2 linked regions of the Lytechinus pictus genome follow. The protein of the gene in region 1 interacts with the protein of each later gene in a pairwise test. Links are inferred from orthologs where the notes say so. Each region holds a gene or a part of one and is shown on either strand. Other genes may lie near its edges. The genes, in order: ubiquitin-conjugating enzyme E2 A and myosin-VIIa-like.

Evidence for each region.
Region 2: the proteins of ubiquitin-conjugating enzyme E2 A (region 1) and myosin-VIIa-like interact in a two-hybrid assay, tested with the Caenorhabditis elegans proteins (2 studies listed by BioGRID). The link is inferred for Lytechinus pictus from reciprocal best matches to the Caenorhabditis elegans genes ubc-1 and hum-6.

What each region holds. Positions count from the first base shown.
Region 1 is NW_026974140.1:10,328,352-10,341,517, reverse strand, and holds the start of ubiquitin-conjugating enzyme E2 A, read left to right. Parts: upstream 1-6,109; 5' UTR 6,110-6,486; coding exon 6,487-6,530; intron 6,531-8,647; coding exon 8,648-8,728; intron 8,729-9,731; coding exon 9,732-9,757; intron 9,758-11,751; coding exon 11,752-11,841; intron 11,842-13,166. UniProt on the Caenorhabditis elegans protein: Catalyzes the covalent attachment of ubiquitin to other proteins.
Region 2 is NC_087260.1:11,314,386-11,327,578, reverse strand, and holds the start of myosin-VIIa-like, read left to right. Parts: upstream 1-6,223; 5' UTR 6,224-6,670; exon of another isoform or gene 6,671-6,712; intron 6,713-12,209; 5' UTR 12,210-12,293; coding exon 12,294-12,311; intron 12,312-13,193. UniProt on the Caenorhabditis elegans protein: Myosins are actin-based motor molecules with ATPase activity. Unconventional myosins serve in intracellular movements. Their highly divergent tails are presumed to bind to membranous compartments, which would be moved relative to actin filaments.

The sequences.
Region 1 (13,166 bases):
ATGGTACGCCACTGGTAGTAGTAGTAGTAGTAGTAGTAGTAGTAGTAATAGTATAGTAGTAGTAGTTGGGGCCCAGTGGATTAGTCTTCTGACTTTGAACAGAGGGTCGTGGGTTCGAATCCCAGCCATAGCGTATTTTCCTTCAGCAAGAAATTCATCCACATTGTGCCGCACTCAACCCAGGTGAGATGAATGGGTACCTGGCAGGAATTTATTCCTTGAAATGCCACTGCGCTGTAAAAGGCTGCGGGGCTAAAGCAAGGGTTATAATATCCAAGTCCTTTTGGAAGCGCATAGGGACGTTATGACATAATGTGATATGCGTTATACAAGAATTGCGTTATTAATATTATCATAAATCCGTAATTGTTTACATTATGTTTTTTTACATGTTGCATTGGGCTTGAGCATGCGTGTTACTACTTTGTTTGCAAATGTTCAAACGTTTTTGTGAATAAATAAAAATAAAAAAAGATATTATTCAGTGAGGGCTTGAGACTTCAGTGAGTGTTCTAAGAAATGAAAGTGGACGAAGCAAATTATAACTAATTGAACGAGAATTTTGTCATTGGTATCAAAGCAATTAGTCTGTAAATATCAACTTCATTATGAAGCATTGAGTTAATGTGATGATGATAAAGATGGTGATGATGACGATGATGATGGTGATGATGATGATGGTGATGACTATGATGATGACGATGATGATAATGATGTTGATGATGATGATGACGATGCTGGTGATAATGATGACGATGATGATGATGATGACAATGATGATGATGACGATGGTGATGATGACGATGGCGATGATGATGACAATGATGATGGTGATGATGATGCCGATGATGATGATGGTGATGATGATGATGGCGATGATGATGATGTCGATGATGATGATGACGATGATGATGATGACGATGATGACGATGATGATGTTGATGATGATGATGGTGATGATGATGGTGGCAGTGGTGGTGGTGGTGTTGGTGGTGGTGATGGGCGGCGCCACATGCGGACCGGGGGCCATGATAAAAAGCCCAATTTTGGGTTACAACCTTTTTTTTTTGGTTGCTTTTTTTTGGTTGCTTGCTTGTCACATTTTGATAAATCCTTAATAATGGGTACCTTTTTGGCCAAAATGACCCGTAAATATGGGGGTGAGTTTTGAACCTTTAGCCGCACACCCCCGTCCAAACCAAATCTAAAGAATTGTAGATTTAGAAAATGGAAAACAAAATGGAACGTAAATTATAACTTCTAATCTGGACGCAGATGGGGCTATTCAACAAATTTTTCAGGGGGGTGAAACTCCGCTTCTGCATCCGGTTAGACATGGGGAAATTTTGGAAGGTCAAAAGTGCACACTGCTCCCATTTTTCGCGTACAAGCCTACGGACACCACAACTTCATGGCACACCAGCAAAACGGAGGCGTGGTCATAATTGGCCTGCGCGCACAGCGTAAAAATATGCAAATAAGTATAGTGTCACTAATTAGCATAATGCGCGACGTGATTGCATATGAAATGAATTCATAGAGCTGCGTCTTTAAGGTGGATTACGTCATTCATTCCCCGTTCACCCCCCGGTATTCAGTTGTTTATTCATCTTTTCTTGTTTACATATTTTTAATAATTATTATCTGTCGCGATTTTTACTACATCAATTAATACAATTATTTATTTGCTAGCTATTTCCCTGAAAGAGATATGGAAGCTTTCAAAGGATTCATTAATAGGATTGAACTTAGGGATCTGCTTGCTCTATTCATCAGGTGTTCATCACAGACATCACTGCATATTATTTTCATTTTTAATTATACATCACGAATAGCCATATATATGTTTGTTTGTTTGGTTTTTTTTTTTTTTTTTTTTTTTGGGGTTAAATGCTTAAAATGATCAGAGAAATCTGAGCAAGAGAGCAAAGCAATCAGGAGGTCATTTTGTCTTTATTTTGAAATTGAAATGAACAATCTGTTGCAAATCTTATGAAGATTTTTAGAAAAATCTGAGTTTAGGTTTGGAGCAAAATTAAGGCAGCCCATTATCCCCCAGCATGAATTTGCTCTCATCAAGGCTATCTTATAAAGGTGACTTCCAAACAATATAAAATTGTTGTACCTGCCCGCCCCCTAAATCTATCAATCTCACCCACCCCCCCCCCCTCTCTCTCCTCCACACACACACATACCACATAATCATGCGAGCAAACAATTATTCTCATATCATTTTATTTCTATCCCACTCTTAAATCAAATTGGTTTATCTCTTCAGGAAGAATATTTATTTTGGCTGTGCCTGATCATAAAATGTCACAGTATGCCATGTTGCAATAGCTTTTATGGGCTATCTTGCCATGCATGGTATTTTTATACTTTATGTTATACTCTTACCTGTTGTACTAGTATTATACCCATAGATACCTGACAAACAAAATCAATCAATCAGTATAGCACCATCATATTCCAGTCATATAGAAGTATTCTTCATTATCATCATACCATCATCTAAATATTTCATCACAACACAGTTTGGTAGCAATAACATCATCATCACTTTATCTTTCACACAATATGAATTGGTGGATTAAATAAATCACGAATATGAAGATTAGAAAGTATATTTTAAATTAAAATGTTTAATAAGCAATCAATTTTTGAAATATGTGATAAAAATATTCCTATCCTTTTGTTCTCGCCAAAGCATCACATTACATCAGCAAAATGCATATAATGAATGCAACAGAAATTGCAAGCCTGTTACAAGGGAACGGATGTAATTTTTTAGGTAAAATCTAGAGAAAAAAAAAATCGAAAAAAATGAGTATGTATATTCACTTTCATAGGTATTCACTTCCCCAAAAAATAAATTCAACAGTTAATGTCCAGCACTACAGGTCCTTGTTTCATAAAGACTTGAATTATGGTAAATTTGCCCCAATTGTAACTAGCAACTAGCATGGGAACCTCACTGATGATCTGTTGCTTGTTTCCACGGTAATTACCAGAATGGCAACGTTAGAATAGTGGTTAGTCTAGTAATGAAATGGGGTCCAGGAGTGAGAGTGATTTCTTAATCCTTTGTTCTGTAACCTTGTTTTTTTAGAATGCACATTTTTTCAATGAAAATCCATTATTTCTTATTTTCTTGTGTATTTCTGTAGGCATGTATGTTACATAGCCCAGACCTCAGTAAAGACCCATTCTGAATTGATTTTATTACCAGAATACAAACTATCCCTTTCAAACTACTAATAGCATTAAAAGTTCTTTCACTACTATAAGTACTACATTTAGATGATTAGAACATTAATAATGGGTGGGTAGGTGTGCCCTTTGGGAATATATTTTAATCTTGTGTGAAACCTATGGACCTAAATATTTATACTCCAATGCTATTTTTTTCTAAAGATGTGTAGTTTAAGCAAAATTCAATATGTATTGACAATATTCAAATTCATTCAATTTTTAAAATGTGTAATTGTGATTAAGTAACTACTTGTTATGAACTTGGCCTCCATATTTCTTCTTAATCTGTCCTGGTGGTACTAAAACAGCCTGTGAAACCTGCATGGTAAACAAAAAGAGAAAGTACAAAATGAGCTGCTGAATAATAATTATTCTCACTCATCTAGTCCAGTTTATTAAGACGTTTAAAACTTTTTATTAGGCCCTACTCTTCCATGCAAAATATTATTTAGATAATGCACATGTAGTAATCTATATAGCCAGATAAAAATCATAGATCACTATTTATAGATCGTTTTTCATAGATCTTTTTTGATTAAGTGTGCAAAATAATTCAAATATATATAAGATTACTCTCAATATTTTGTCCTTTTTATTTCTGTCTACATAGTAACTGAGTTTCAAAGTTATTTCATGTATGACTAATATAGATAAGAGACATGAATAATAAGTATGCATTGATGAGAATGGAAATACTGGTGAATCTGAATCCAAATAAATATTAACTCACAATGGAGCGTTACTATATGGGATAACATGATTCAGAAAAGTTGCTATATCCCTCCACCTCCCCACCCCCCCAAAAAAAAGGAAATAGGGGGCCTTTCTACGAAAACAAGCATACCTTGCAAGTTTTCAGTTCAGATATCCTATTCCTCATCAGATTGTTACTCTTGGTGATGTGCAAATGGTAGTTGACTTTGTACTTCTGACTAGGCTGGGACTGCTAAGAACTTGATCCTATTGGATCTGCAATTCAAAATACACACAATACTTAACAGTTTAGAATTTTAGATGTGATACACAAAATTCCTCTTTTAAAACAATATTTTCAAAATTTCCAGCTAGTCATATCCTATTAAAGTTCCCAACTAGAAAAAAAGCTGGTCTAAACCGAAAACTTCCTTCTCTCTGTATCATGTTCCACTGACGAAATAGGCATACCTGGCTCTGTTTCCACTGACCATCTTCATTGTCAATAAGAGTCAGTAAATGGTTCAAGCATACGTGGCCTACTATAGCGAGCCTGAGGCCTTTTGTCAATCTTCAATATATATACACCAATCCAGCTTTGACAGATGTAGAATAATTATTAATTTTGTGATAATTTGGCTCTCGCTCATTCACCAGTGCAAAACAATTATTTAATTTTTTGCACTCGTCTATAAGCATGTGAATCTCTACGTCTAAGTAAGTTCCTATTTAAGTTTGATTTTGATTTAAAAAGAGGTTAGCTTGCTCGCAAGTTTAAATGATCCTTTGCTTTTCACCATAAATAAGGTAAAGTGAGGAAGACAATAAAGATAAATCAATTGGATCAGCCCCTCTCTCTGCTTATACTTATAAAATTCAAAATGGGGCACTATAAATTTTCTAATCCCTTCCCATAAAAATTGCACTCATGGTATACGATAATTGAGCAGTTTGAAACCTGACAAAGAAATGTTGGCCCCCCCCCCAAAAAAAAACAATACTAATTTAACTCCGTTATGTTAGGCTAGAGTCTAATGACTAATTATAATTTTAGTCCAACGGTGATCCAGGCAGGGACTAGAATAAAGTTAACTTAAATCTTGAGAAAAAAGTCGAACCAGACAGATCTAGAATTTTATTTTTAGAAATCTAGATCTAAGTTAGACCTATCCCTAGGGCCTTACTTTTAGTAAAAAAAAAGACTAACGTTAAAATCTGTCTCAAATCATTCCATGAGTCATGACCATGGGCAAAATCTACCGATATCATTCCGAATAGATTTAGTTCATTTAAATTTAATTCAATTTCTTTTTAAATGCAGAGAATTATATTGATCCATATGAAGATGAAATAGCGGTGTCAAAAAATCATTAGGCCCAGGCCAAACTTTAAACTTCAACTCAAGCTTGTTTGACACTAAAATTCCCAACACCTAATGACCTAACCTACATCGGCAATTTCGCAGCCGGCTGGCACCGGCGGTATCAATGGCCGTATCCCGCTCTGACTATATTATTTGGCTTAAATTTGATGCAGCTTTGCCGATACTGAACAAGTCCACATCTACCCCTGATATAGATTTATTAAGGACGGACATGAAGCATTCCAATTAACCAACTTAGTTCTAGGAAAAACTGTATTATTTTCTGAGAAAATATGTCAGTCAGATCTCAGATTTATTTGGGATCAGGAAAAAGAAATGGTAATATGGAAATTGTGGTTTACGTACGGTACTAGTAAGGCCCTGACTGCGACGCCGAACCTCAGCAAACACATTACAATTACAACTGAGATCAAAGCACAAAATTTGAACTTCACTTACTTTTATTTGCATGGAATGCCATTACTCTGATGTAGATGTTCCCTCAAAGATTTTCTGCTCAACTGAATTTCACTCAGAAATCATGATTCCGGACACTAATTCTATAAACAGATAATTAGTCTTGCTATTGTATTTCAAAAAGTTGAATTTCGCAGAGTCAAAAAGAACAACACTTCGCACAGATATCGTAGGGAATTGTGGGATGGAAAAAAATGTTTAATGCATGAGGACATGAATAAAACATTAGCGTTTTATCCAATCATACAAGTGCATTATGCGTATTTTGACGTCATTACTCATGAATTAAACATTGACCTTCCAAAATCAACCTTCAAATTGGCCAAATGGCAGCCATGTTTGTTATGTACAAAACCTATGGAAAATAAAAAACGCGCGGAAAGAGTTCCCTCTCTAGCTCCCTTCGGGAGCTTACGTATACGTAAGATCGTATCTCTGTGAAATTTTTGCATTGTGGGAATTAATGGTTTTTCTCTGTGATGAGGTCATCGTATATGAAAACACAGTCTCTGTATGTGCAATATCGCTATAGTGCAGTGCAGTGCATATCCATGCAGTGTACATGTAGGGCCTATGCAAAAGAAAAAGTCATCACCGATGCGGACGTAACGACGATGAAATCAAGTTTTTGAGAAGTTTGAGGAGTGGTGGACTGTTCTTTGTATATATATTTATTGGATATTTAGTATATCTATCATAAAATGTCTACACCGGCGAGAAGGCGACTCATGAGAGATTTTAAAAAGTAAGTGCAAATACCATTGCCAGGGCCAGGCTTGAGTTGACTTGCAATGAATTGACAAATTGAGATTGCTGGAGAATCGTTTCTCACGACATTGCATTGCCTGCACGACTGACAGTGATGATGACATTTTTAAATTTTTAACCTGTAAAAGGCGAACTATATTATTGGATAATATCATTTCTTCATGAGAAATGAGTGAACTACTGTGAAGATCTTTAATTATTTAGTTTTGTTATTTTGTTCCAAAAAGGCAAAACCTCTCATGTTTTAATGGTTTTTGTCATTGTCATGTCAACTCATGTCTAGCCAGGCGGCTTCTAGAGAGTAAAAATCATTTACTAACGTAAGGTTACTCTCATACGAAGCCAGGCATTCCTCCCCATTCATCTGCGTGTACCGCAAAAAACCCTGAAACTTTCGCCCCCGAGATTTCTACTTTCCTTCTAAAAGATCTAGCTCTAAATCATGTAAATGGGATAAAACTTCATTTCCGACATTTCTATGCTCTCGTTGTTATTTTGAAAACAAGAATTCATCAAAAAAATGAAAAAATATTGTGAAAAGACGGAAGAGACTTGCCCGATGTTTACGCCGCCATCTTGTTTCTTATTGTACTTCCCCAACTTTACGCGACGCTCACGTCACAGTTGACACACCCAAGGGTTCATTACATGCCGCCGCGCACAGAAAATTCAAGCCATAGAAGTCGTGTGTTGTGGACCCAAGAAGTGAGATCCCAGCACGCGCGACCCACTAGTTAGAAATCCACTGCCAAACGCGGTTCGTGGTGCGAGGTTAGTGTACTAATACTAACCTCGCAATACGTGTGAGTGCAGTTGATAGTGACGCATTAAGATTATTGCACTGTAAATTATGTGTTGGACATTTTCTGTTTTGTTAGCTGGGACTGAAGCAGGGCCATATATATGGCATAGCCATACATGTGTAGGCTAAACATGTTCAAAATTCAACTTAAGTTATGGTGTTCCCCAGGCCCAAACTAGTCTGCGCATCTAACGATTTGAGTTAAAATTGAACACAAATTTCTTTTATGGCGCAGAATCTTTCATTTGATAATGTTCCTTTATCATGAGTAAGTGTGCCAAATATCTCATTAAAAAATGAGAGAAATACATGCATATGATTTTTCTTGGAAATAACTTTGGGCAGTCAAATTCAGATTGAACAAAACATGGTCCCCCATGTCTGCTCACCCATTCATAACCTTTTTTATTTAGCACTCTCAATTTCCGTAAGTGCTTTCTATAAAGCCCACATAGGAAAATGAAAATAAAACTTTCCCCATAAACAAGGACAATTAATTTCCATCTATCAAGACATGATTTCTCATGGTTTAAAAATATGAGGATATATCCTTGTTTACCGGGACGATCCTCTTTTTTTGGACCAAACACATCTCCAGTTGTCCACATGTATTGTAAACAAGATCTGGAAAACAATATCCCTGCTGGCAGATGAGATGGAGAAATTTAACTTGTAAAAATATGATATTACTCTGCATGTTTTGACCAAATTCTGACTTCAAAAATGCTACTGAGGGGGAAGTTTTTTTTTAGGAACTGCATGAAGATTCGCTGATGATTACATTGTTATCTTGGATTTTGTTGTGGAGTGCAATCATTTGGCTGATCGTCATCCATACAATGCAAACTGTTATGATTATGATTTTATTTTTTTTTTGAAAAAAATAAGCAGGATTTCAATAGCCACGTTGTCAAAACATGTGATATGATAAATAAATTGTATTTTTACAAGTACAAGTGTATAATGTTACCGTTGGGGGCCGAGAAATGGTTTCTGACTTTTCTGGACCTTGTTTACAATTGCATGCAGATATTTCTTGCAACATGCGACTGATACAAGTGCCAGGCGTCTTTAAGAGATTAAAATCGTGTTCGCAATTTACTCTCCAAACACCTCCTGGCTAGCATCATGTGAGGTTAATCTTTTTTGTATCAATCGCACAGAGCAAGGGACCACTGCATACATGTACATGTAAACAAGGGCTGGAAAATCATTTTGGCTGTTTTGTACTATCAACCTTGTTAAAGTGTGATATTGACCATTCTGAATGTCTTAACTTTTTTTCTTGTCAGATTACAAGAAGATCCACCAGCTGGCGTGAGTGGTGCACCTTCAGAAAATAACATAATGTTATGGAATGCTCTTATATTTGGGTAAGTTTTACTCTCGGGGGGGGGGGGGGGGGGGGGGGCAGTCAAATGTATTGCTGTACACATGCGTGACCAAATTATTTCCAAACACCCCCTAAACGAGTTTTTCTCTGTGTGCAAAATAACCCCCTATACAAGTTTTTTGCAGGCTTTATTTACACATTTTGGCCCTTACAAAACAAGTTGTCGCCAGAATAGGACCCCGGGGAAAAAGCTTGGGGAAAAAAAACATACCCTCAACATGTTTAAAAAGCTTAGGAAAAATAAAGTAAACATACCCTAAATATGTTTGACCCCGCGATCGACCAGTCTTTCAAAAGGGGTGTTTTTTATACCCTTAACGAGTGCACGCGCGGCCCAAGTCCAAAACTGAAAAAACACCCCTTTATTTGCATTTTTTTGGGACTCACACATGTGTACAGCAATATATTTGACTGGCCACCCCCCCCCCCTGGGTTTTACTGTACATGTACATTAAGTTACTGCTTACCCAAGAGTAATTCCTTATATATTTCTTATTTTAGAATATTCCTCTTTCATGGACTAATAAACTGTAAGCATTGATAAAACTGCTCATATCATCATGCTGGTGGCAGCAATAATATTCTATTTCAAATGCCTATCCTCATTAGTTAATGACATGTAAGTCTTCATAATAGCGGGATCTTTTCTTTCCCTTTGCAACATGGATACGCACAAGCCTGGTGAACATGTGTAGATTACCCTTCAAACATGGTTATGGAAATGAGTTTGCAGTTTATACTCTACATGTACATGTATGACAATAGTGTGGTATTCCTTTTTCCTGTCATTGCTGTCATACAGGATTTCATTTCACAAAATATCCTGAATATGCATCAAGTGCATGTATCATGCAGTTCAGTATAAATGATATTTGTTTATTTGAATTTTTAAACAAAAATTCAGTTTGTAGGGATTTGATTCAAAATATAAAAGAATGACAATATTCTGAAATCCATACATTTTTGTCTTTCCTTTATCAAAGGCCCCGTGACACCCCATTTGAAGATGGTAAGTTCAATTTACTTTTTATTAGCAAGGTTGTCACTGTGATAGTACATAATATAGAAAAAGGACATTCTTTAACTGTTTATGCTTAAAGGACAAGTCCACCCCCCAAAATGTTGATTTGAATAAAAAGCGAATAATCAATCAAGAAAAACACAGATAATTTTATCAAAATCGGATGTAAAATAAGAAAGTTATGACATTTCGAAGTTTCTTGTAATTTCACAAAACAGTTCTATGCATATACTGGTCAGTATGCAAATGAGGAGACTGATGACGTCATCCACTCACTATTTCTTGTGTATTATATGAAATAGGAAATCTACTAATTTTCTATTCATTTTCAAGTGAAATGACAATTATTTTGTCCCTGAACATTTGGAATTAGCATTGTTTAATACAATATGGTTCAGCCAATTTGGTCCTTATTGTCAATTCTGTAAAAAATGAAATATTGTATAATTCAAACAATAAAAAACAAAGAAATAGTAAGTAAAGGGACATTATTGACTGTCTCATTTGCAAGTCACTGAGTTGTGCATATCTCTGTTTTGTGAAAAATAAGCGAAATTTTAAGTCATATTTTTCTTATTTTACATCCGATTTTGATGAAATTTTCAGCGTTATGCAAGTTAGATTTTTCTCTATTTAATTAAATCAATGTTTTCCTGGGGTGGACTTGACCTTTAACCCTAAAAGGTCGGGGGGGGGGGGAAGGTGGGTTCTGCCTTCCTCTACATTTTACACAATAAATCTGCCACATGAAATTTTTCAACCGCGTTGCTCGCTGACTTTTTACTTTCAAATCTCGCACAACATATGAGACCAAATTTGCAATGCCCGGGTACGCGGTTACAAAATTACGCAACATTAGGTACATGTAAGTGAATGTTTGACCAAAAATTGCTTAAAGATGTGATTTTGTGATTATTTTTACTTTCATCAGTTGAAATTAATATGCTTCAAAAAGGTTTTGCTATTAATTTGGCAAAAAAAACCAAAGAATACATGTTCATAAAACAATAAAATACATAAGAAATTAATTTTCAAACCAGGATTTTTTATTTGTAATTTATTTGGTTTAAAGAATATTAACACAAAAAATAGCATTTATAGAAGCTTTTTTTAGTGAATTAGAGCAAGAAAGTATAATTTACGCATAAATTAGAAATTAAGTCTTATTTATAAACAAAAATATGATTGTTTTTTGGAAAATTTTACCATACTAACTTGTAGATTACATCTAACACCTGTACCTTGCCAATTTTCATGGCATTCGTGCGATTGGCAGTCAATATGTCATCCCCCCCCCCCCCGGCCAGCTAACGCCCCCCAAAACCTGGCCTGGTTTAAGAGAGCAATGCAATTTTATTTTGAAAATTACTGTTAGAACCATTGTTGGTAATATAATTTTGAGAGCAGCAAGGTACGTAATGTAGTAGAGGTGGGTACCATGGACATACAGGTATATCAGTTAGCACACTGGTCATACATGTAGCTTGTCAGTGAGGTTGCTATCAAATTCAAATTCAAATTACTTTAGATCAGGGCCCCGTCTTATGAAGAGTTACGATTGATCCAATCAATCACAACTATGGAAAGCCAGCAACGACAACATCTAAAATACATGGTTCTTCAAAATATTTTCTAGATATGACGTGGTATATTCACTGTTTTCTTCACAATTAGGTATGCTTTTGTTTTCAAAGGACATTGTGCAAATTTCCTAAAGAAAATAGTTATGACATTGATGGATTCCCATATACTTGAGGTTGATCAGATCAATCGTAACTCTTTGTAAGACGGGGCCCTAGATACATCACTCTATAAAATATACAGATTTCAGCTTCAATTTGAGCCAATTAATGAAAGGTCCCATAATTTTTGTTCTCATTCAATATCTCTAGAAGTGGATTGAAATCATTTTAAAAATGATTATTGTTTCTTGTTAAAAGTTTCTTGTGTTTAATTTTTCTCCTCATTTTATTTTTCCCCAGGAACGTTCAAGCTAACTATTGAATTTACAGAAGAGTACCCCAACAAACCACCCACAGTACGCTTTATATCAAAGATGTATCACCCTAATGGTAAGACTTATAATCTACATGTACACTCTAGGACCTGTAGTCTGAACTCGGGTTGGATTTAAACTCTGGTGGGTGTTTCATAAATCTGTTCGTAAGTTAAGAGCGACTTTAAGAATGACTGGTGATCCTTTCTTAAGCGCAAAACCCTCACCAATGCACGTTTTGGTGTATACCATTTACCATAAGAAAGGATCACCAGTCATTCTTAAAGTCGCTCTTAACTTACAAACAGCTTTATGAAACGGTCCCAAGGTCTAAAGATATGCTTTCACTACATCATATTGCCAGTTGTGATCTCTAACAGCACAAGTTTAATTTGTCAGCTTGTTTGACATTCATAAATGACTGGGAATAATTCCTGAAATAGATCTCATCATCAAAATATGAGGAAAGTGCCCAGTAAATATAGGAAACAACATGATTTTGAAATGTTTGGCTTGCCATAATTTTAGCACAGAGTTAGACCACATGTGGCCTACATGTAAGTTAAACCAGACTCCACAATATGGGCATAGGAGTTTTGGTGCACTATATTTTCAAAAGGAAGTCTTTGAAATCAGATTAAATGTTACCTTACCATCATATATCTACATGAAGTACATTCTGACATAACTTACTTCACTGATTGAATTCTACACAAACCTACGCTTAAAATTGGTATCACAGATAGGTACAGTGTATTACTATTGCTTGGTAAAGACCCTACACTTGGCTCAAATGTCATGCTTATTTTGCCTATTATAATTACTAATTTTCTATCTTTTTTCATAAATTTACAAACACTGATGGTCATATCTGTTTGAGCTCATTTTATGATCATTACCAATAGTGAAATTTATGTTTAATAAACTCTTTTAGCATATAAAGTTGTGCAGTTCAGGCCCGTATTCTGAAGCTTGGTTTAGCTTTATAGGGCATGGTCTAACTCTGTGTTAAATTTTTGGGAAGCCAAAAATTCACAATTGCATTATTATATATGTCCTATCTTTCCTCATGTTTTAATGGTGAAGAGAGCTATCTCAGTAATAACTCCCATTCATAGTGTAATGAACATTCTACTGTTAGAGATACCTGTCACAATTGGCTATCCATAGTTTAATCATAACATTAGACCAGACTCTATTTAACCCGAGTTCAGAATAACCTAGTGTTAAAGTGTTAGGGTGTTTATTTTCACAATGATATTAGGTGTTAGTATCATTTTCAGCCTGCATACATGTATTTCCTTCAAGATGATGCTCTTAATTCTGAATGAAGTATTGTTGGATTGTTAATATTTTGTAGCATCTGCATTTTCCAGCGATATTTTCAGCTAATTTTCATTA
Region 2 (13,193 bases), on another chromosome or scaffold:
CTTTTAACACCAAAATATGGACATCATAATTTGAAACAAAAATTTTATAGATTTTTCAAATCTGTCCGGTTTTTTTTTATACGCACTGTGTAAGCGTAATACAAGAGAAACTGCCAGGGGGGTTTCACATTTCACCTGCAAAACTTTACTTTTTTCCGGGTCACGAGGTGTTATGGTTGGTCTACAGTACATGATTATAGGCCTCTGGATGTGTGTTTTGCAAGAGGGCAAAACATAAAATTACCTTACAACTGAAACTGAGAAACAAAGAAATATGTATGAATTATTTTAACTGAAAGTGTTCTAAATTGCGCTCTATAAATATATGCCTTTTATTATTGCTATTATTATCATTATGTTATTATTTCTACTATTTTGATTATTATTATTATTATGATGATGATGATGATGATTATTATTATTTTATTTTTATTATTGCTATTATTATTATTGTTATTATTATCATTATTATTATTATCAATATTATTATTATTATTGTCATTATTATTATTATTTCAATCAAGTCAGGAAATTCATATTTTGAAAATGCATACCTGTAAATGTTGAGTTTGTGTGAATATGTGGGAGCACTTTATGATGATGAATTACAGTTTACTGACTCTACCATACGGTGTCTTGTCATTCTTTATGTGGCAGGTCTTGTTTGTTGCATTTTATTTACAATATACCTCTCAAAACTCCACAAAATTACTATTGGGGTGTTGCTATATTGGGGGTGTTGTTTGCAATTAATTGCAAGTCTGTTTTGGTCCCAAAATCGATCATAAGAATTGGCGTTAATTGCAAATTTGCTCTTGATTTCTGATTGATTACTTCATACAACAATGAGTGTAACCTGATTAAAATTGAAATAAAATCAAATTGATTGCAAATATATTCATACTCTTTTCTTAGTGTAGCAGGAGGCTCTTAACATTAGTTAAAACCACTTTCACGGTAGAGGTTAACAAAGTTCTACATGTACATGTATGGCAGTGACACTTGCCTTTTTCATATACTGATTGTAACATTAACTGATCAACTATTATATTTTTTTAATTGCAAGAGATCTTTTTAGTGTACATTCTATTAGCTTTTTGCTACATGTACATGCACATGTAGTCCAGGATAGAAGAGGCATAACCTTGTTTTTTGTCTCGCCTGCATAGCAGAGCGAGACTATAGGCGCCGCTTTTCCGACAGCGACGGCGGCGGCGGCGGCGGCGGCGTCAACATCAAATCTTAACCTAAGGTTAAGTTTTTGAAATGACATCATAACTTAGAAAGTATATGGACCTAGTTCATGAAAATTGGACATAAGGTTAATCAAGTATTACTGAACATCCTGCCCGAGTTTCAGGTCACATGACCAAGGTCAAAGGTCATTTAGGGTCAATGAACTTAGACCATGTTGGGAAAATTATTTTCAAAATCTTAACCGAAGGTTAACTTTTTGAAATGACATAACTTAGAAAGTATATGGACCTAGTTCATGAAACTTGAGCATAAGGTTAATCAAGTATAAGAAAACATCCTGCTCGAGTTTCAGGTCACGTGACCAAGGTCAAAGGTCATTTAGGGTCAATGAACTTTGGCCAAGTTGGGGGTATTTGTTGAATTACCATCATAACTTTGAAAATTTATGGATTTAGTTCATGAAACTTGGACATTAGGTTAATCAAGTACCACTGAATATCCTGTGCGAGTTTCAGGTCACATGACCATGGTCAATGGTCATTTAAGGTCAATGAACTTTGGCCGTGTTGGGGGTATATGTTAAAATACCATCCTAACTCTGAAAGTTTATGGATCTAGTTCATAAAACTTGGACATAAGAGTAATCAAGTATCACTGAACATCCTGTACGAGTTTCAGGTCACATGACCATGGTCAAAGGTCATTAAAGGTCAATGAACTTTGGCTGTGTTGGGGGTATTTGTTGAATTACCATCCTAACTCTGAAGTTTATGGATCTACCGGTAGTTCATAAAACTTGGGATATAAGAGTAATCAAGCATCACTGAACATCCCCTGTGAGTTTCAGGTCACAAAACCAAGTCAAAGGTCAGTTAAGGTCAATAAACTTAGGCCATGTTGGGGTAATTGTTGAAGTGCCATCATAACTTTGAAAGTTTATGGATAGAGTGAATGAAATGTGGATATGGGTGTAGTTGACAGTCTTAAGTCTCCGTTCAAATGTCATTTATGGTCAATGAACGTGGTATTATGTCATTATATGAATGGTGTTTTTGTGAATGATTATTTTATAGTAGTTATCAAAGTTAACACTGCTGCTATATTAAATTGCGTAATGCAGGCGAGACTGCCAGAGGCGTTCCACTTGTTTATATATACAATAGTTTTTTATGGTTACTTGTCAATTCGAGTGTGCTGATTACGAATCTGGATGATGCCACTCGTGTAACCTTGAGCATTTTCCGCAAATTGGCAAAATCAAATATGGCCGCCAAAATATGCAAATTACCCATAAAAATCCTAAAATTGTCCGCACATTGGCTATGAAATGCATGAAATCGTGTAGCAGGAGTGAAATACTCTCTGAAAAAAATAATTTTTGACAAAATATTTATTTTCCTGATATTCAAAATGGCCGCCAAAGGCCCTTGTATATTCTATTATGTACAATATGAATAGGGAAAACTAATTTTCACAAAAATGAGCACTAAAGTGCAAAAATCGCAATGTATGAACGAAGTAATATATGCAAATCATCATTACTAACGAGATATATCGTTTATTATGTCATATATGGGAACATTTCTGTATTTTGATATCTAAAATAGCTGCCACTGGCCCAAACAGTATTGCGTACAATGGCAATGGGGGCCAAAAAATTCACAAGAGTGATCACTAGAATGCATATTATTAAGATTAAACGAGTGGAATACTGACTAAAAACATAATTGTTAACGAAATATATTATTAATATGCCATATATGTGATGAATGATTTATTTTGATATTCAAAATGGCTGCCAAAGGCCCTAAAAGTATTATGCACAATGAGAAAGAGGAGCAAAGAAATCACAAGAGAGAGCACTAAAATGCATATATATGTGATAAATTAATGGGATACTGTCTAAAAACATATTTTCTAACGAAATATATCATTCAGGTTTCAAGTTTGTGTTAAATACTGTATTTTTATTTTCAAAATGGCCGCCATAGGCATTAACAGTATCATGTACAATGCAAAGTGGGAAACCAATATTCACAAGAGTGAGCACCATAAATGCACGTAATAGTGATCTATGAGTAAAATATTGTCTGAAAGCATAATTTCTATTAAGATATATCATTTATTCTGCCAGTTAGGTGATAAATACTGTTATTAAAAAGTCAAAATGGCCGCTACAGGCCCTTATGATACTATGCACAATGTGAATGGGAACAAATTATTTCAACGGAATTTGGCTTTGCTTGGCCAAATGGTGATGTATGAGGGAAATATTGTCTGAAAACATGATTTATAACAAAATATATCATATCCTATGTAATTTAGGTGATAAATACTGTATTTCAACATTCAAAATGGCTGCCATATGCCCTTTTTGTGAACATTATTTGTCTCCACTCATATTGTATATTATACGTTAAGGGCCTATGGTGGCCATTTTCAATTTTAAAATGCAGCATTTATCAACTTAATTACACATGATATGATATATCTCGGTAGAAACCATGGTTTTAGACAATATTTCACCCTTTCACAATTCACAATTATATGCAATATTTAGAGTCAAGCAAAGCCAAATTCTGTCAAAATTATATGTCCCATGTTACAATGTACACAATACTTTTAGGACCTATGGCAATCATTTTGGATTTCAAAGTACTGCATTTATTACCTCCACGACCAATATGTGATCTATTCACTTAGAAATCATATTTAAGACAATATTTTTACTCGTATATCACAGTTATATGCATTTTATGATTCTCACTCTTGTGAAAATTAGTTTCTCCTTTCGCATTGTACATGATAAATATAGGGCCTATGGCGGCCATTTTGAATGTCAAAATACAGCATTTATCACATAAATGGTATATTAATGGCAATGATGGCAATTATGCTTTTAGTCAGTATTCCACTCGTTTATCTTAATAATATGCATTTTAGTGCTCACTCTTGTCATTTTTTTGGACCCCGGTCATTGCCATTGTACATAATACTCTTGGGCCAGTGGGGGCTTTTAGATATCAAAATACAGCAATATCCCCATATATGACATAATAAATGATATATCTTGTTAGTAATGATGATTTGCATATATTACTTCGTTCATACATCACAATTTTTTTGCGGTTTAGTGCTCATTTTTGTGAAAATTAGTTTTCCCTATTCATATTGTACATAATAGAGTATACAAGGGCCTATGGCGGCCACTTTGAATATCAGAAAATAAATATTTTGTCAAAAATTATTTTTTTCAGAGAGTATTTCACTCCTGCTACACGATTTCATGCATTTCATAGCCAATGTGCGGACAATTTTAGGATTTTTATGGGTAATTTGCATATTTTGGCGGCCATATTTGATTTCGCCAATTTGCGGAAAATGCTCAAGGTTACACGAGTGGCATCATCCAGATTCGTAATCAGCACCCTCGAATTGACAAGAAACCATTAAAAAATATTGTATATATAAGAAAACAAGGTTTGGTCAAGTTTCTACGGGGCCTATCCTGGACTAATGTTTCTCAGCATAATAGTAAGCTTGAATTTATACAGTTTCAACTATTTCAGCAATTTTACATCTGGGCCCTGTTTCAAATAGACATGTTATAACAACAAATTCACCTGTAGTTTCTATTACAAATTTACTGTCATCAGTCAGCCAATCAAATTTCAGTATTTCAGTAGCTTTTGACTGTTATCGCAAATATGAAACAGGCCCATGATGCTTCAGTCTGGCAGCACATCAACTTAGTCTAATCATGTTTTGCATTCGATGATACGAGGCAGATATTATGAAGATGTTTAGAATGATGATCATCCTATCTGAGATAAATAAAAACTGTGCAAAGTTCACCCGGTGCAAAACTGCCTCGCCTCTTTCACAGTTTACTTCTAGTCTTGCACTTCAGACTCTGTTTTATTGTTGACTACTGCTTCGTCATTGAAATTCTTGTTTTGGTCCGTAAAATATACTTCAGAATTTCAGGATCAATGCAAAATGTTTTATCCTTAGTGATTTCATTAAGTTACATTTATTTCCTTCCTTCATAAGCGTCTATCAAATTTGCAAACTATAATCATTTGTAAGTTTTCGCTTTAAATATCCTAATCATGGGAAAAATAATTTTCAAGCCAGAAAAATCACAAGAATATCATTTCCTCCCTCCCTACAGGTGTATGCATTATTTTCATATATTAAACTTTAGAATGACTCTGGAAGTCACCTTTATTGCCCATGACCCAGTAATATTTGTTAAGTTTTAAAGTTGAACAATAAAAAGAATCTTATCAACTTTAACTTAAGTCAGCATTTGTTTTATATAACTTACTTCCAATTCTCAGTTTTGAAGCTATAATTATTTCAGTGGCATACTACATGTACTTGTTATAACATTTCGTATCGAGTGTTAACAAGTTGAATGTGTCTTATCTTAGGGAGATGTAGACTTACTATACATATATCTATTATCTCACACTCCAAGTCTGAAAAAAAATTGTTTTGAACTTGGCTTTTATATATTTATGCCCTAATGTTTTAATATGTTTTCAAGCAAGGGTGGGCCCTGGATTTATTTAATAGGGTACTTCCATTTTGTGTGGGATTAAAAAAAAAAAAGAACAAAAAAGGTTCTTGTTGGCAAGAACTTGTGTCATCGTCACCTCTCCCATAAAGATTACAAGCAAAAATGATAGAATAAAAAGAGAAATCAAGTCCATTGTTGTTTGTCTCCCAGATCGACACTCAGGGCACATTATGCTAACCGATACTTTTATCTAAAGTTCCAAAAAAAAAAGAATTCATAACAACTTTATTGTTAACAACTTAACATTAGTGGATGGAGATGAGTTTAACGATATAAACTTTACAACCATTTGGATGATAATTATATAATAACATGACGGTCTGATTCCGGAGACTATTCTCGCCCTATGCCCACTGAACTGTGTCCCTTGTGTAGTGAGTCACATATATTTGTGTTGAGCTCTCCTATTGTCATATAGGTATGCCGCCTATTGTTCCCCTCACCCTCGCTCTTATTACGCATACACCCCTGTTCTTGGTTGTGTGCCCAGCCCAAAGCTTGGGCAGCACCCCTCAGAGTACATACCAAGTGTGCTCGCTCCAATGGCAATGCATGAAATACATGAACCTTCTACCACTAAACCAAAGGGGGGAAGCCGGGGAGTATCGTGCGCTGCAATATAGGAGGATCCATTCTTGCATAGAATAGAACTATTGTGTATTCTTTGAGAACTTAGCCATAGTGGTCCAGCTGCATGTTTTCTTAGTGGTGTGTGTGTGTCTATCTCTGTATTAAGAAAGAGAGAGATTTGTTCAGTCAGTTCAGCACTGCCACATTGGCAAAAGACCGACACCGACAACAACTAACCGGCTGGTATTGAACTTTAAGCGGAAGGGGGAGTGTTTGTTAATTTGGTCATCGGAGAGAGATAACATCGGATTTAATTACGTGAGTGACTGGGCTACTGGGCTTAATTGACCACCTTTAATGGCAAGTAATAACTCTAAGTGGGTTGATGATTGTCAATGTTTAGTTTACCTTTTAGTGTATTGTTGTTAATACTTATTTTGAGTAAATTGGAAAAGATAAATTGGAAAAGATAGCTTGGTGATACATATAGCTACAGAGGTTGTATGTATAGTAAAAGTAGAGATCAGAGTTTTAAGCAGAAATAATGAAAATATTGGCCATCTGGAAACAGGTACCTTCTCCGTTTTCTTTCATTATAGCATATAATTGATTAATCTATTCTGTTAAATTAAGTACTACTACTACTACAGATATTGTAAATAATTATGTACATGTAATGAAACAACATGCATTTTTGTAATTTCCCATCAAAGTTTACTGTGTTATCACCTGGTAATATTATTCATGAAAAAAAGACATTCCACTCAAATTCTATCACATTTTAGTATTTTACCACAGTAGACATTACAATACAAAGTATTTATATTCAATTGCACAGGTATTTGATTTTTAAACTTAGTATTTAAACAAAATACTTTGATCTTCACTTTTCAAGTTTTTTATCAGTGATAAGAATTAAGTTTTAAATGCGTTCCTACCAGGGATATAATGTACTTTCAACGTATAAGTGAATCAGAACATTCATGATGTATTTATGGATGTAATATACTTTTGATACATTTCCCATTTGGTATAGCATAATATATTCATATATAAAGTTATAAATTTATTTATTTAGAGGGTGGTATGTGTGGTTTTACCACTATCTAAAGTAAACTAAACAAACTTCACTGAACTCTTTGATCAGTACAATCTTCATCGCATCGTTCATATGCAAACAAATTCACCATTAATTGGCATATTCTGTATAATGTGTTAGTTATGTGTTCTAAGTTCAGAAGGGTAATTGTATCTCATTTCATGCTGAGAAATTCAAGGAATTGATCAATCTTGCCTTGTCTTGCTTTTCTGCTGATGCCCAGTATTTGATAAAAATTTATGTCACATTTGAAAATTGACCTGCAAATTTTTCTATGATATCCTACTGGACTGTTGAAACTCTTTTTTTCCCTTCTGGCATAATAAAAAGAATACTTTCCAAGGTTTTATCATGAGTGTGTGAAGAATTTTGATATTGATATAGCCTTTTTTTGTTCATCATGATTTAAAAAGAATACAATCAACAAGGCAAATAGCTGTAATTTCAAAAACTTCTGCACACTACCCCAAAATGTTTGCCATGTTCATTCATATTTTCCCCTCAAAAGCTCCCTTTTTATCGTTTCCTCTCTTCTTGGTTCACTTTCATAATGAACCAAAGAACCAAATGTTGCATTTTAGTCACTGTACATGTCAAAGTTTATTGTATAGGCCTATTATAATTGATATGCCAACATTTTCCAGAGGACTGACAGCCTAGCAGATACAAAATTGTTAGTTTAATGAGCACTACAAAATAAGAATATTGGAAACCAATTGTTTAGTATTTGCAACTGTACGGTATAATAATTGACCGACACTTGGTTTTAGGGAAAATGAACTTATTGCTGCTAACGTTTGGACTGCCCCCATAGCGATTTAGGATATATGATTCTCTTTTGCAGGCAATTATTTGATAATTATTTGATGTTCCTGTCAAGACCAGTTAATTTCATATCTAGATATTTCAATATCACTATTACATTTGTACATTTCCGTTTGTACCAGTGTACAGTAGCAACACAGATAATTAAAAATCTAATTATCTTACCGTACGTGTTTGTCTCGTACATGTATATCTGATTAAGTCATTATTATTGTGTTATTATTGCTTTATTAGTCCCATGTGAACAAGGTGTCAAATTTGTTTTTATTACAGATCTACCTTGCAATCCAACAAGTACAAAATGTACAATACATTTATTTTTAAAAGAATGAATATGCAGAGCTGCCAAGTAGTACGTTATTTATTTTTTTTACAAAATAAAAATTTATTGAGAAAAATCATCTCTATATGTCTCTATTTCATAAAACGTACACAAATATGGTTATTAGATCAATGTAATTTCAGGTAACTTCTTTTTTTTTTTTCAATCATTTTGTAAAAACCAGGGTGAGATATACACAAGTTTCAATGTTTTTTTTTTTCATCTGCAAGAGCAGTGCACATTTTAGCTTGCATGCAGCTTGAGCGCCGTGATGGGCGAGTGCGCCAAGCATTTTATTATGAAATACACTTTTGGGGGGAAAAATACAAAATATTTATCTCACACGGTAAATTTTTTTGTCAAAATTTTGTCAAATTTTTTTGTCAAAATACTGATTTTGGGGGATAAGAATAATGAAAATGCAAAATACAACTTGGCAGCTCTGAATATGTGTAGGCCTACTTTATTATGTCCAATATTTCTTTTTTCCACATCTATGCATGGCCATTTTATTTGAGTATAATAAAATCCCACAGGAATTGGTAGTTTCTTCTGGGGACTGAAAACAATATGGCCCGTATTCTGAACTCGGGTTTATTAAAACTGAACCCTGGTTTAAAGTTGTGGTTTAAGTATGGAGAGCCAAATGGGGCAAAAATCCCTAACAGTACACATTCAATTTATGAACTTATTGGACACTCAAATTATTCATAATTGTCTGGGAATGATAATTGAAATATTTTTCTTCATTATGAAAGCAAAAGGAAAAACAATTCAAATTCATATGACTTTGTTCTTCTAATTTCTTTTTGCTATATTTACAATAACTTTTGTATTGCAATACAATGATATTTCAACTATTATACATGAATATAACTAAGGTGAAAGTACCTTAAGAAATTAATATTTTAGTCATTAGATTACAGTGATATAACTTTCATTCAAGCTCCACATATGTTTTCAGTATTGCATAATAAACAAAATCATTTTCATCTAAAAACAAACTTCTATTTCTTTGTAGAGAACAAAGTACAAAATATAACAGTTTTTTTCGCAAAGAACTGGGAAGTTATCCCCTCAACATGACATGGCTATTTCCATGAATAAAAGCTAATTGTTTACTCAAGAAAAGAGGACAGCCCATCTAGTTTATATATCAAACAAAATCGTAGACCTTTGAGCTTTCAAAGTACATGAATATGGTGGATAAAAAATGCAATGAATTGAATGGATAGCCGTTATAATGGATTGAATGAATATTAATTACTTTAGATATACTCATTCTCTTTGTACAATTCTAGAATTTCTTTCTTGAAACATTTGTCAGAATTTGTGACAGAAATAACACACACAGTTTCATTAGTTGTACAGTACACACACTGTAAGTACTAAGGACCTTAAATTTATTACTGTTTTTGTCTTTTTATGGGTGTTATTACATATGTACAGTATGTGGAAAAGTTATGAATCGGCTGAGTAAATTATTGAAAAGATTTTGTAATATGACTCACAATGTACTTCCTTCTATTTTAACCCCCATCCCCCAAGAATTATTCAATTATTCATCCTGGTCATCCTAAAAATAATTCTTTTTGAATAATTGGAAATCAGTGAATATTTTTCATATTATAATGTACTTATGAGAAAATGTTCAGTTTAAAGGGGAAGTTCAACCTGGCATCACAAATCAAGAATTTAAAATTCTGATAACTTTGATGAATTTTCCTCAAACCTTTACCAATAGTTATTTTTATTTTTTTCTGGTATTCTTGCAACAAACCTTTCGTCAGGGTGAACTTCCCCTTTAAATCTAGTCTTTGTAAATGACACAAACTTGTGCACTTCTTACATGTACCTTCATTCAAACCAAAGGGATCACTCAACTTTACTCAGGAGCTATTTATTTCTTCTTCGACTCTGCAAACCTTTACACTGACAGGAATCACCTGAGATGTTTTAAAAAGCTCCTCTAATCACATCATAAAGGTTAATTGCTGTGATAACGATGACTACAATCGTAAGCATCCATTTGGATGCCTAACACTGTAAGCCATGAAGGGAAAATAATCACTTTTTTTGCCATTATTTCAAAGCATGTAAAGGTGCTTGTGGAATGACATTTTCAGGGATTCCTCTTGAAATATTGTTGCATGCATATTGCACTTAAAGGTCAAGTCCACCCCAGAAAAATATTGATTGGAATAAATTATAGAGAAAAATCAAACTAGCAAAACAGTGAAAATTTCATTGAAATCGGATATAAAATAAGAAAGTTAGGACATTTTAAAGTTTCACTTATTTTTTTTTTACAAAACAGTGATATGCACGACTCAGCGACATGCAATTGAGACAGCTATGATGTCCCTCACTCACTATTTCTTTTGTTTTTCATTGTTTGAATTATACAATATTTAAATTTTTACAGATTTGACAATGATAACCAACTTGACTGAACCATAAAATGTTAAAACAATGGTAATTCCACTTGTTCAGGGAGGAATTAATCATTGTTTCACTTGACAATGAGGAGAAAAATAGAATATTCCCTATTTCATATAATAAAAGAAATAGCTATGAGTGGATGATGTCATCAGTCTCCTCATTTGCATACCCACCAGGATGTGCATATAACTGTTCTGTGAAATTAAGCAAAACTTAAATGTCATAACTTTCTTATTTTACATCAGATTTTGATGAAATTTTCAGTGTTATGCTTATTGGATTTTTCTCTTTTTATTCAAATCAACTTTTTGTTGGAGTGGACTTGTCCTTTACAATTAAAAAGAAAGCCTATAGAGTTAACCCCTTTAAAACAGAGAACTTTATGAATACTGTTAAGGATCCTGAAAAGGGGAAAATAGTATTAAAAAAAATCTTTCATTTTTTGTGAATGGTTCTTGTGTAGATACAATAGTTTTAGAATGACTATTGATTGAACAATTCATGCAATTCTTTCATTCACCTTTTGTCGAAATGTATGGCTCTAGGCAAGAGTCGGTCTAATCTTTGAAAGAAATTCTATCATAAAAAATGTGTGCAATTTTAATACCTCAAATTCTTGTTAAATAGAGCATATAGCCATGTGGGGAATGCCTTTTCTCAATATATGATTTTAATTTTTTTAGATTTTACAACTTTAGATGTTTGATTTAATCTCATTACTTGTCATAACAGAATTTTTAGATCCTTTGCAGGATTGGATGTCACTCTTTCTTCAGCAAGTGAATCAGTGATAACTCCATTTGGAGTGGAATTCCTCACTGATCAGTGATCACTGGCTTGAAATCAATACTTTTAAGAATAATGTAAATTCTACATATAATGTGATATTTTGTAAGAATGTGTGCTATTTGGTAATAAGATTGTCCATTTGATTATATCCTGATTGTATGAAAGTTTCTCTTATACATGTATTTGAATAAATCACATACAATGTAACATTCAATGGATTTAATATCTCTTTAGAAAAAGAAGTTCTGTCTTTACCACACTAAAACAAATGTTTACTTTTAACTTTGAAATTAAGATAACCCTTTTTTCATTCCATTTGTAGGTGCATACTATTAACTTTTCAAATAATGGAATCCTTTTTTTCATCTTTTGTTTTTCAGATCTGATGGTCGGATGTAGCCCCCTGAATGAATAAATAATTAGGATTAATTTCTTGTCAGATTTGAACCCGACACACAGCCACCATGGTCATCCTCGTAAAGGTATGAAAACTTAACAAGATGTTTCTTGTCGGGGGAATTTTCTTGATTTTGTTTGTATCTGAATGTTTAAGTAAGTGAAATGATTTTATTTGAGTTTCTTCTTGTTTATAGTGAAAGTCCTCGTTTGGTTTCATGTTTTTTTTTAGTTACTTGAAAAATCAAATGTGTTAAGAGAAACTTAGGACAAATATTCAACTCATATTTTGACATAAATATATAAGATCACTTGTACTCCTATAACGTCTTCTACAGTGTATTTTAAAAGAAATTCAGGTTTAGCTTAATGAGAAATGTATCAGCATTTTTATGAACTTTGTACTTTAATTATCCATTTGGCTTTGAATATAGCAAGATCTTCAAACAACTTCAAAAAATGTCAACTTAACAATAACTTGTTAATATGATTCATGACATATGCATGTGTGTACCGTCTGCTCCATATAATTAAAATCCCACGCAACACACACCCCACAAATGGAATATTTACGTGCTAGATGGTTTTCAATTGAGGACTGGATCGTGTCATTGTAGAGCAAAACTCTCCACACAGGCACACAATACAGATCTGTGACGTTGCTATAAAAAAGTGTGACTCTTTTGCCCATGGATGATTTCATATTCCATTTCTTTTAATAAATGCTTTTTGTTATTCTTTCTCATTGAGCTCTTCCTTTTTACAAATCGTGGGAGAGAGGCAAATGTACACATGTAGAAGGAAGTGAAAAATAGTTATTTTTTCACTCTTTTAGGGAAAAATCAAGTTCAAGATAAAAGAGAGGATCCAATAAGTTGTATTTTTCTATAAAGTGTTTTTGTCTGTTGTGATCTTTGTCCCAGCTATATCTTATGTACTTATGTACAAAATTAAATAGAAATTGAAAC